Styela clava: one gene and its partner. The protein of the gene in region 2 purifies or fractionates together with the protein of the main gene of each other region. This does not show direct contact. Links are inferred from orthologs where the notes say so. Each region holds a gene or a part of one and is shown on either strand. Other genes may lie near its edges.

Evidence for each region.
Region 1: the proteins of bystin-like (region 2) and RNA-binding protein PNO1-like fractionate together in Homo sapiens (co-fractionation; 4 studies listed by BioGRID and IntAct, with this or other methods). This does not show direct contact. The link is inferred for Styela clava from reciprocal best matches to the Homo sapiens genes BYSL and PNO1.

Annotation. Positions count from the first base shown.
Region 1 is NC_135261.1:15,432,662-15,440,189, forward strand, and holds the start of RNA-binding protein PNO1-like, read right to left. Parts: upstream 3,071-7,528; 5' UTR 2,938-3,070; coding exon 2,803-2,937; intron 1,411-2,802; coding exon 1,261-1,410; intron 708-1,260; coding exon 563-707; intron 207-562; coding exon 89-206; intron 1-88. Other genes in the region: ornithine transcarbamylase, mitochondrial-like, read right to left, coding at 4,948-4,989, 5,332-5,469, 7,350-7,524. UniProt on the Homo sapiens protein: Part of the small subunit (SSU) processome, first precursor of the small eukaryotic ribosomal subunit.
Region 2 is NC_135262.1:15,087,812-15,093,652, forward strand, and holds bystin-like, read right to left. Parts: upstream 1,865-5,841; coding exon 554-1,864; 3' UTR 513-553; downstream 1-512. Other genes in the region: dnaJ homolog subfamily C member 27-like, read right to left, coding at 5,406-5,841. UniProt on the Homo sapiens protein: Required for processing of 20S pre-rRNA precursor and biogenesis of 40S ribosomal subunits. May be required for trophinin-dependent regulation of cell adhesion during implantation of human embryos.

The DNA.
Region 1 (7,528 bases), on a different chromosome or scaffold from region 2:
TGAAATCATGAATTCACAACAAAAATGATCAACTTGTTGTTTCAATTTTAATCTGCAGTGTGAAAGTGAAGATTTGAAATGTACTTACGAATCAGCTAATACAATTCTCGATTTCGTAACATTCTCAATTGTGAATTTTGTTCTTCCACCAGAACCAGCTACCCTACCAATAGCTCTTGATAAATGATCTCCTTTTAACGGCTTAACTGAAAAAAAAATATGAACAAATGAAGCCGAAGAATCTGAAAATATTTTCAAAAATCAACAACAAATACAGGATTGGAGTTGAATTGAGCTTGGTAAAAACTAAATTACCACTAAGATTCATTAACCAGCTAACAATATAGTTACAAAAAGTGACCCCCAAAAACAGAACCCAGGTCAATTAAAACATATTCTATAGAGAACATAACATATGTGCAAAGAATCCCAGATTAATAAACAACATGGTCATTACACAGCTCATAAAGGATGTGTGTTACCTAATTTTCATTTACTGTTATTCTGTTTAAAGCAAATTTAATCACACATAAAGAATATATGCAACATTGATGATACTCACCGTCTGTAACCTGAAAAGATTCAAGAAAAAGTTCATCAAGCCTAACAAGCGCAAGTGCATCTTCAACAGTGAAACCTAATATAAACGCTTTGACAAAATCTGCACCTCGTTGTAATGCTCCAATATCTGTAGTTTGTTTGCAAGTCTTGAAAAGAATTATAAAAATATTATAATAAAATCAAAGGTTATTGCCTTGTATATTGTTTATTATGCTGATAAGTTTGAGTAAAAAAATTGGGGGAAAGCCAATTATATTCTCCCTAATGTAGCTGCCCAACAGGTATTGTAGATACCGTAATCAATATTCAAATTGACAAAATTATTGTATTCGACCAAAGACTAAAAATCTGATATTAGCGATCACAAAATAAATGAGACTGATAAATTCAACAAGCAATTATTAATGATCAAGGATTTTGAATAGAAATGATGATTTCCAAAATAGACGGTACTATAGCAAGCTCTATGAAAAGAAACAACTGGCTATTGTACTTTGGACAGTTGAATTGTATTTAATGTTGTTATATCAATCATAAAATAGGTAACTGATTAGTTCACATCATTTATACAGTTGAACCTCGATAGTTTTCAAGAATCTAACACAACCGACAAATAAAATTTGGAATTGAAATATGATGTCCAGATTTTCTTCTAGAACAAAATCATCATGAAACGTAGAGAAAGGATGATTTATTCACCTGTAATTCTACATTCCTAGTTTTGAGGTTAAATCTTATCTGTAACTTGAGTTGTTCAACAACAGGAGAATATATTTTTAACCAATTTTCTTTCAATGGTGAATATCTGTTAGCTGGCACAGGAATTTTTCTGAAATCTTTCTTTCCATCCTGGTGAAATAATATAATCCATTAAAGCTTCTTCAAAAAAAGAATAAATAGTAATGAAAACGTTAACCTAGAACTGTAGAACTAACATTTTGAAAGACATTCCCATGCCAGAACCGGACTAGTAAGCCTGAAAAGTTTATCCTGCACCACCTTTTTAACACAATATCAGTATACTCTATTATCCCAATCGTTACCAAGAGCAAATCATACTACTGTACTGTCATATTTAAAAGAAGGGAATACAATAAGGCAGCTTATTCATATGGAAACCACAGCATTTCGTCCGGTTATCAGCCAGTCTGGATTTCATGGCCTTTTCGAACGAGAAATCGGGCGTGCAATCAGAAATTCCCGTGTGCAAATAAGAATTTCTGGCGTGCAAAACAACTGCGCCCGCTAAACTGATTTCGAACTAAGATACCTCTCAATACATCCGCGTAAAAATAAGTTGGATCATAGCAAAAATGGACGTTTGACCTTTGACCCCCAAAACATCATTTCTATATTTTGTCACTAATTTTGAAAGTGTTTGTGCGAGAGAGAGTAGATACCGGTACTGTTCAGTACATCCGTGTAAAATTATTGTATTAAAAATACGCTGAATCAGAGCCATAACTGGCCAGCGTCGGTGAGGAGGCGATTTTTCTCACGGGATTCCTATCATTCAACACGATATGGTGATTTTTGCTTCGCATTTTTCGATCAGGCCAAATCTTGCGAGCAAGTATTAGTCGACAATTGTAAAGTTATAATTTTTTGGCATTTTTATATTACTAGATTATTGATTTAAAAACTATTTAAACCGATTTACATTGGTGAGCAATTGCAAATTTTCGGCGTGCAAAATTGAATTCGCTCGCGTGCATTTTTGTGGAGCGCTAGCGCCCTCGGGCGTGCATCTGCCATGGAATCCAGTCTGGGTTATCAGTCCAAGTCGATTAGGGCAATAATTTCATGAGTTGTTTTAAACATATGCAGACATCTGGACATGGGCGAAAGAAGCTATAACTGTATAACCACCCATCGGGCAGCCCAGCAATCCTCTCACACATAATCATTCCCCACAGGATTCGAATCCATGCAATGTAATCAAAGATGCCATTACAAGCGTATTCCTATCAAAGCATCGACTAGCATGATGCACGAACCACTGGGCCAAGGCCGTCATTATTATTCGTTTATAGTCCATCCTCACTCAGTGTAAAAACAAAGCACTGTAGTTCTAAAAACTTTTGCAATTAAGGGATGGAAGGCTCATTAAATAATGATTTTTAAATTATCCTGATTTCAGGATTTTTAATCAGTTCAAACCCGGTAAGTAGCAATAGAACCATTTCAAGAAATCAAAGTTTCAGTATTTAATACCACTATATCATTAAATTAGTTATTTACCAATAATTTGTCCCCACTTATCTGTGGAAAATGTGGTCTTTTGATCGTGGGTCCCGAATCATCCATCTCCATCTTTCTTTTAGATTTCATTTTTCTACTCCGAACGGTTTTGAATTCTTCGCTTTCTCCCGACATTTTATGTGAATTTATTAGATAAACGGTATGCAAAAAAGCAACCAGGCCGATGCTAAAACTGTAAGATGGCAGAAACGAACAACAGGACAATCGATTTTCTGAAAATCGCTCAGCTCAGCGAACATGTGTGTAGCCACGGATGAATGCGTTGAGATATCGGGGCGAGAATGTTACATTTGCGAGAAAACGGTTTCACGATACAGTTTCATCAGAGCCGTTATATATTCGTAAATATATAATGGCTCTGGTTTCATCGTGAACATAAAAAAGAATTTTTTTTTGGTAAGAAATACCCAAAAAATGCTGGCATACAGCGTAGTTAAAGCCCACTGAATATCGATAGCAATATTCCAAATACTCAATTAAGAAGTATCAAATATACGAGAATACAAAGTTTGTGCTATTTTTGTAGTTGGCTGTATTTATTCATTTGTTTTTGTTAGATAATATGGACCCCAACGGTACGCAATGATAAACAAATTGAATGTACCTCCAACCTAACTTCATATCGACCCATTCTCTTTGGGATCAGGAAAATATTGATTTTTTTTATATCCTCGCTAAGTTATTTGAATGGGATTTTGTATTCCCCCAATAAAATAAAAATTCCACTCCTATTTGAAAGGCTTCGTGGTGAGAGAGAACATTTATTTTTTCGTCGAACCAGAAAACATGATGATACAATAACAAATAATAATAAAACAACATATAATGCAATATTAATTACAAGAGAGCTATGCTCAAATATATGGACACGTAGAGTTACATAATTTTGATGACGTCATAGCAGAAAAAAAAGTAATAGCCTTCTGGAGAAAATTTTTATCTTTAACCACTGAAAATTTCAAAGCAATTGGTCCAGTATTCGAAGAGAAAAGCGACTTTTTAAAAACGTGTCAAAGAACAAGAACATATATATTGAAACGATCGTTATGTCCACTACGTGTCCAATAAACGAAATAATTGTTGGGTCCTCTAAATCCGTTAGGAATACGCTCGACACCACACCGGGTTCGAATCTCATGCTGGTATAATTATGCGTGCAAGATTGCTAGACTCCTCGCCGCGGAATAAGGGTGATTCAAATAACCGCTGGTCTGTTACGGTTTTTTTCACCATCAAGTGAACCATGCATATGACAAATAAATGGCTAGCTAATCCCATAACATATTATGGTCGTATCGTTATCACCCAGTAATCAACCGAAAACTGCATTATGTAACGTCCAATTATATATTTACTATTGTATTGAATCATCACGTTTTCTGCTTTGACGAAAAAAATAAATTCTCTTTCACCCGACAGGGACTTGTAACCGGAAGAGATGGTCATATATTTAAGCCGTTTTGTTTGATTTTCTCTCTCCAGAGATGAATATGTAAATCCTATCCTATCTTAATTGTTATATGTGGCGTATTCAAGGTACATGGCCGTCGTTTGGATAAGATATTGTAATGAAATAAATTCAAATTGGAAATAATTGAAACTAGATTTTCTACTCGAAAATAACTGCATGTATTTCAATTCAACAATAGTCCTTAAAAATCTTTAATCAATGATCGAGGGGACGTAAATTTTAAGGAACATAAGTCTCCGTTAACGTAAATAGAATCAACATCAAGACTGAAGTCCATCAATCTTTCCTTCCAAATTAGGGAACCTATTGGAGGGACACTGAAGAGGCTTCTGTGTTATTGTGTACAGTGTTTCGTAAACTACCATAGCTTAATTTCAACTGGGCTGAATCTGTTGATGCTCTGTTTCAGCAACCATTATAAGCTTGAAGATAAAAAATAATAATAATTTCACACGCAAAGTCGAAATTTTCATCAAATTTTTTTACAGAAGAAGCAAAAAATGCAATATTCATATCCACAGACTTTCTATCGCTATTCGAATATTAGAAAATTTCAAATAATACAAGGGCGGCAGTGACATATCGGAATGAAGGTACCATAACAGGTTAAATGCACTGTTTCATCAATTGCAACATGCCCGATACCAGAGCTTCTACTTTAAGTGATAGCCCTTCATCAAGTTCACCAGCACAGCCTGAAATAAAGAAATACAAGATGAAACTATCAAATATATACAAAAACTAATCTTAACGCTTTGCTTTATAAGAGTATTTTGCTTTATAAGAGTAAAGCAAGGTCACACACACACGGGAACTCGCTCAAAAATTGTGCGGATTGATCTCTGAGCAAAGTAAGCAGCAACCACGAATACCAAGTATTTTATGTGAAAAATATACACTCACTGAACAAATATTAGCGAGCATGGTGAAGAAATTTAAATTTCATTGACTCATTTAGAGACACCAATTAAATGGTATATATTTATGATAAAAATATGCTAAACAACAGTTTACTCAATTGTTTTCTACGCTCATACCATCACAGTCCATTTTCTGTTTTCAGCTTCTTGGTAAACCAGAGATTTTTTGGAATAGAAAACTTCATCATCAACTTCTTCTGGTTTTCGTGGAAGACAATGAAGAAAACACCAGTCATCTGCTGCACCCTTGCACATCTAAGAAAATATTAATACAGACATTTGAATAAAAATATTGATTCACATTCATAAATTTGGAAACCAATGCTTCGCCCCTGATTTAATATTCGAGTTAGCGCCGAAGTTGGAAATGCTTATGTTCTAACCCAGGGCTTCCTAAACTTCCAAGCTCGCAACCCCTTCCAATTTGTTGAAATTTTATGCAACCCCCTATTCAGAAGAGCATGCCGCTTATCGGGTCTCACAATCAAAGTCGTCATTGTTAGGCAAGTGCGCTGCTTCTCTGATCCTAGGTATTATCTCGAAATCGTAAGATTCATGTTTTCCATTAGTTTTAATAATTGTGTTTTGAATTAAAAGTACAATAGATAAAGTACTTTGTATGCAATTGGTGCTCTTTGCGACCCCTAAAAATTTTTGCATGCCCCTTTGGGGTCGTGACCTCCAGTTTGGGAAGCCCTGTTCTAACCCAATAACTAGTATGTATGTGTAACGAAATAAATTATGCTGAAATGAGAAGATTAAGTCAAAAAACATAGTTTCACCATACCTAGAAGCAAAAAAGTGAAAACCTTTCAAAAAAAGATATAATAAATGGGCATGTGTTCAAAAATCTAATGTCAATAATATCGTATTTAGTTACTAACAATATTTGTTGCAAAAGTTAAATATTCTCTTCAATTTTAGCTGTTTTATGAAGTTGCATCAGCCTGTTACTGGTCTTGTATAATAAATTCAATGACCAAATCACAGTGTATCGCAGGTAGGGCCGTCTAAGCGAACCAAATATTCGAAATCGAATCGCTAAGATTAGGTACATAAAGCGGAAACCACCTTTGCAGGAAGTTTTAGAGTTTAGACCATTCTCGCTCCAGGCTTAATTGGTTTCCCGATATTTCTCTCGCCTTCATTTTGTGATAAACATGTCATTCCTAATGCCCGCCCGGTGGCACGTGATTAGCCATTTTATGCATGGTCATCATAACTTAAAAGTTATCAGTAATGACGTTTTTGAGAGAGAACATGGAGAAAAAGGCAATTTAGAAAACATAGTTCTATAAATAGAATCTATTTGAAGCTGTTAAGTCAGTTATCATAGGAACTTGCTACAGGCAACTCAAAGCTGAAACAGGTGTTCTGGGATCCTTATGATGGCAACACCTTCTTTCAATAGAATTTGTAATTTCTTATACTGGCAATACTGTATTATCCATCTTTATACCAAGACAAATAATTGCACTCTTGAATTTTGATGGCTGTTTTACACTAACAATATTATAGTCATCAAACTAGCTTCGAAATTGTTAAACGCAATTTTGAATTTGAGCAACAGTTTTATCTATATTAATGGTTGTTATTATTTTGCTGAAAATTACACAAAAAAACGTCACCCTAGTGAATAGGATTAAAATAGCATCTACAGGCTTTAAATGTCCTATTAAAACTGAATCCATTAGAATTGAGATTGCAATTTTTGAATTGTGCAATTTTTGCTCTTAAATCTCAACAGTTTGAGACCCAAATTTTGGAGTCCTCCAATTTGTTTGACCAGTTCATACAAATGTGTGATCTCCTTTCATAAATCTGAAAACATTGTATTGCAAAATACCAGCAGTAAGTAAGATGTAACTGCACATACGTCACCACAACATCGAAGGGCAGACGTTTATTGTATAATAGAGACAGATTTAGGATTGCGCAATATTATTCGATTATTCGGTTCATTTCAAAATATTCGATTCGAATCAAAAAATTATTCGATTTTGGACAGCCCTAATCGCAGGAACAAACAGTGATGAAGTCTGAGTAACAATGTGAGAAAAACTTGCAAACACACATCAACAACTGTGCATCAGCAGAAAATCCACAATGAGAAAGTTTTAAATGTTAAGAATAACCTTCATTGTGACTTGATATCCAGCGAAGTCTTTGAGACGTCTTTGCTTTTCTTCCTCCTGACCCATAGACACCCAAGTGTCTGTAACAATGACATTTGCACCCTGAACAGCCTCGACTGGATCGGTTGTATATTCTATTCTGGTTCCAAACTCAGAAGCAAGTTCCGCTGCATCCCTGC
Region 2 (5,841 bases):
GACGGGATCGCTGGACGCCTGGACCCATGGTTCAGCCTATCACTGGAAGGACCACGTAACCCGCTTGTCACGTGGCAGCAGATTTTGCGCTTCCATATGGTCATGAACTTTTCAGATTACACAGTTATAATGACAACTTTACTGTGTATAATCTTAATCATATTACGAACAAACAAAAAAACATGCTGGATGGCATGCTGGGATATGCCATCAAGGGCGACGGGATTTCGGTATTGAATTATTGCCCTCACTTATTCAGGGGCCTAGTTACTGAGACAACCGGCTGATGAAAACCAAGAGTCGACATTAAACAAACGAACTATAAACATGCAAAACTTTTTGATAAAGTGTTCTCAGGATATGAATCTCATATTTTACACCCAGATTAAAGGGACTCAATCAAATGGCAAAACACGCCTCTCGCTGCCAAGTAAAATGAAAATGTGAAGTTTTGCATCGAGATCTAAAACGCTAATACCTGCTACACTGCTTACTGTCAAAAAACAGTCAAAATAATTTTATAATTTATTGATTACAAGATTAAACTTCATTGTTATTCAGGTTCCTCCATTATAATTTCTTTGCTTTCCCTGGACATGAGTTGTTGTCTTATTTCTGGTGTGATCTTAGGATGGATTTGATACCTCAGCAACTCTCTCAAGCTATCTGCTTGTTCATCAGAGACATCATTTCTATAGGTCTCGACAAAGGATAAAAGACATTGATGCCATAACACTGGCAACTCCCTTTTGTCGTTACGAAACTGAGAGAAGTGGAACACAAGAGCATCAATGACTCGAAATGGTAGTGCATACTTTTTAGTAATCAAAGCTCGGAGAAAAATGCTGTTACCACCACTATAATGCATTTCTGCTATTTTGATCATTGCTGCACTAGCATGAAGAACAGGTATCGTGCATTTTGTGATGACGCTCGAGATTATTGTAGCTTCTCTCAAAGTACATGTACCTTCTTCACATAGTGGCAAAATGATTCCTTTAAAAAAGGCTGCCGGTTTGTAAAGCGCCTTTTTTAATGCCATAAAAAGGTGAAAGTTCAATCTTTTGTAGTAATGAATATCATCCCTTATACGTGGCAGTAAAACCAAATTAAAAAATCTTTGAGCCATGTGAACGTTAAGATTTGAAGCAAATATTCTTGTTGCTTGATACAACGCAGCTGCACTCCAAGTATCCGGCTCCGTGATATACAAAATCTCTTCCCAATTTTTAAGATGTGGTAAAACTTTGAATGCTTTCGGCAGCTTCCCACTTCTGTATCTAATTAAAATGCTTTTGACATCTTTGTAAACTTCAATGATTCTAGGATCAATATCCGGCATGGGATTTTCAACATCAGGCATTAGTGTAGAGACATCGGTTTTCTTTTCTGTAATTTTCTCCATGATTATATCAGCTAAAGTTCTTCTTGTTGGTGGATCAGGATTCATAAAAGCCTGTAATGCTTTTTCATCTTCTTGATTTATAACTATGTCTTGATCTTGATATTCCCCTGAAGCGGCAAGAGCAGCACTTTCTGCTAAACTTGGCCACTCATCTTCATCCTCATTTTCTGAATCGGAATTACTTTTCTTTCCTAGTTTTATTACAGTTTTAAATTTTGAAGCTCCGATCCCAACTTCTCCTTCCAGTTCTTTTTGTTGTTTTACTGCTGCATCAAGAATTTTTTTTGTTAATCGATTATCGACAAAATCATCTTCTTCTTGTCTGAATCGAACCTTCGGTTGCCGATTTGATGCCGCCTTAGTAACATTGTCTGCTGTGATATCCTCAACCAGACCAACTGATTGCTTCACAGCCAGAGGCTCTGCACGCTTCGCTTTGACTTTTTTACTTTTTCCCATTTTTATCTTGATTATGGTAATATTTGAAAATCTAAAATTAAAATAAAAAAGGTGGAAGCATGAAATCACACAGAAAAATATAAATTATAATGTTAAATATATATTTACAGCACCTGAAGTTAAAAAACAGTAACTGTATAAAACTTGCCACATGGCTTAAAGAACATATGTTGCAAAAGCATTAGAACAATAAATTACCACATGCAAATACTCAATTATGAACCCAGGTTCAGTGGCGCAACCAGGCCGTTTTCAACGGGGGGGTCCGACCGGAATTTACACAGTGCAACCACGACGTAAGTCGCAACGCCACTAGGTGTCGCCCCGCTGACCACGATAAATTGCTCATGGTTAAAAGGGAAACGCCATCGATTAAATCCCAGCCTTTCGCTTACCTTGCACTCGTTCTTAACGGCGCTTCGCTATGTCTTGCACCTCGTGGGTAGCAAAACGCCGTTCATTACATTCCAGCGAATTGCTAACGAAAAGCTGTTAATTATTTTCAACGTTTTCCTCGCTTTGCGCCTCGTGGATAGTGAAACACGGCTTGAATAAATTCCAGTGTTTCCCTCGTGCCGCGCCTTGCTCGTTGGGTGAATTCGTCAAGACTAAAAACAAAATGCACTTCTTGCGAATGGACCTTTTCCCGACCCTAACCCCGGAAAAATTCTAAACTAAACTGAAGCTCACCGGAAGACATAATGACAATTAAAATAATTGATTTACAACTAATTTTTGGAAACACAACTAAAAACTGACTAATTTAATGCAGGGATGTCCAAATCGAATTTAAATTCAAATATCGCAAACTTCAAATACTGTTTTTTCGTGTTTATAATAATCCCAAATATGGCGCACATATCCTAGGCGTCGTCGTCCATGTGTGGTTCGGCAATATATTACAGCTGACATGAAAGACTTTCGATAAACGCCGACTTGAAGAACTTATAAGACTTCGAGGACGTTTTTGATTGAAAATATTTTCTTATCGGGTATTTTAACTTAGTCGAGATGGTTTAGGCGTCCTCGGCAAATTGTGTCTTAATTAGTTGTTTTCATCCTCAGTTTCGATAGTGACCGAACATAACAGAAAATTTTTTCATTTCTTCTAATTTAGCGCGTATAAAATAGCCCTTAAATAGTATTTAATATCTATCGCGGATTTCGTTGGCATCCGGCATTGATAACAACATCAGTTCAGTTAAAGTTAGCGGTATTCATTTACAAACAAAAATACATAACAGCCGACATGAAATATTCAAATCAGCGCAGAATTCAATAATAAAACACGTTTTATGGTCTTAATATGCACATAGAAAGAAGAAAGGACAGAGAAATAACGACTAAGAACGGTATAGTATGTTTGTGTACTTTTGTTTACCATCGTCATCATAATCAAATTAGTTAATCCCGATTCCCAAATTTCCGTCCGCCAATAATGGAGAATGAAGATGGAAAAACGTGTTTTACTTTTTGAGTCAGCGTTGATTTAAATTTTTCATGTTATGTGTTATAATTTTTTGATTATAAACCAATACCTCCAACTTAAAATGAACGATATTGTTATCAACGACGTCAGGACTCGGGATAACGATAAAATCTCCGATAGAAACCAAATAATATTTAGAAGCTATTTTATAGATTGCAAGAAATTAAAAAATTTCCCGTTAAGTTCGATAACTATCGAAACTGAGGATGAAAACAATTAATTAGGACAGGATTTGCTTTTAAGTTTATTGCCGAGACGCACAACATATCTTGACTAAATTGAAATATACGATAACAAATGTAAAAAATTTTCAACCCAAAACGTCCTCGACGTCTTATAAGCACTTCAAGTCAGAGTTTATTGAAAACCTTTCACGACGACCGTTAGTTATTGCCGTGCCACACATGGCTGCTTTCGATTGCGATAAAAATGAAATAATTGTGGAATGTTTTTAAATCAGAACGTGGACGGGGGCGGTAGGATGTTTACGGCGTTTTCGGCCTTTCATATGTAGAAAATCTTAGGTTATTCGAAGCAATATTTTTCCGAAAATAATTTTCGTATCCAGATTTTCAGAGTTTCTACTGCATTATTATAACATGAAGACGGGCGGCGTTACATTGCGTCAAGATGATGAAGCACGAGAGTATTCGTCACAAGAGAGAGAGAGATAGCATTATGCTATTGTCGCTTTCAATTCGCATCGACAGCGCGCGATTTCTACTTTTTTGAGATAACATATCTCATTTTCGAATACAAACATATACGCGGCGTTAGCGATTATTACGTAACTATCAGCAAAAAAGTATGATTGAAGTCGGGCGGTGTTAAATTACGTCGAGGTGATAAAGCACTGGAAAAAAGTAGTTTTCACCCGATTGTTATGACTGTGGAACGACGTTGTTTTAACGTAGAACAATAATAAAAAAAACGAAATTCAAACGGGGGGGACACGACCCCCGTAACCCCCCCGCTGGTTGCGCCACTGCCCAGGTTAGTAGTATAAATTCTCAGACATGAATTTTTAGTAAATTTTGAAGCAATTCAACTTAGGAAAACATATTCCAATCCAGCCACTATTTTCCACACTTTCATTGAAAAAAAAAAACTATGTATAATCTGAGACTAACATAATAACTATTTTCCATAAATGTGGTACCACTACATTTAACAAACATGTGTGTGTAATAGCTGGAGACATTGATATAACCAATTATTAACTACATCAATAATTTTGTAATACATATGAGATAAAAGAGTTAGTAATGTGTTGTTTAAAATTATAGGTAAAATAGAGAATTAACTAAACAGAATAGTATACAAAATATTACAAATACAAAATTTTGAAATATAGTGAAAAATATATATTTTTCTCTAAAAATTAAAAAAATAAAGGCAAAATCATAAAACTATATTACTCCTCTTAATAATAAATACCGGCACCTAATATTAATGGAGAGTGTTTTGTACAGATATCTGACTCAAAATTCCATTAAAATTATGCAGAAGGAGTGAATATTTGAAGCTTTAGTAATAATGAGGATATCTAAGAATCTGACATCACAATTCACAACACAAATAATTAATTTCGATGAATTGATTTAGTTAACAGGTGTATTAGATATAATGGATGCAATATTTAAAAAAAACTTTCAATTTGACTATTGAATAAAGAAATTTGTTCAAACAAGGGCCACATGCACTCACTCACTTATATATTAAAGGGATTTCTCGAACTTTTACACCGAATTTAATCTGTTATAAGATTGCATTTGAAAAATTCTAAATTGTATGTACTTATTTCATCCTCGGTTTGTTGTTAGATATATCATTATGTGCTTTACTTTTCTTTCTCGTAACTTTTATGCAACTGCTTTTAAGGTTGAAGGTAAATAACCTTTATGACCAATAGAAATTGAGAAATATTCCCCCACTCAAGATTTTAAACGCCTGTGGGCCATATTTTTCATAATTTCAAATCGTTTGATAGATATTACATATAATAAATATATGGTACAAAAAAAAAGCACAAATATTCAAAAAATCAAATGATCATCTATTTTTTAACAATGCAGTTCTTGCATTGACAAGAAGTTTGAATGCATCTTCACTTCCAGGAGCTACATTTTTATCAGGATGAAGCAAAACAGCAAGCTTACGATAAGCTTTATTAATATCATCTCTTGTCGCAGAATGATGTACTCCAAGTTTTTCATAATTATCACGTCCATTTTTTATCCTCAATATAGCATCGGCTTGTTCTTTCGTAAAACCAAGATTGGTGTTTACAGGACCACGCTTTCCTCCATTTTCAGATAGTTCTACTAATGCATTAAACATGGCCTGGAACATTTCATTTACACCTTCCCCCGTACCGGCTGATGTTTCAAAATAATGAAAACCTTTTCCATCTGCCCATAATCTTCCTTCTGTTGTATCAACCACTCTGTTACCTTTATCAGTTTTGTTAGCGCAAACAAAAAATATC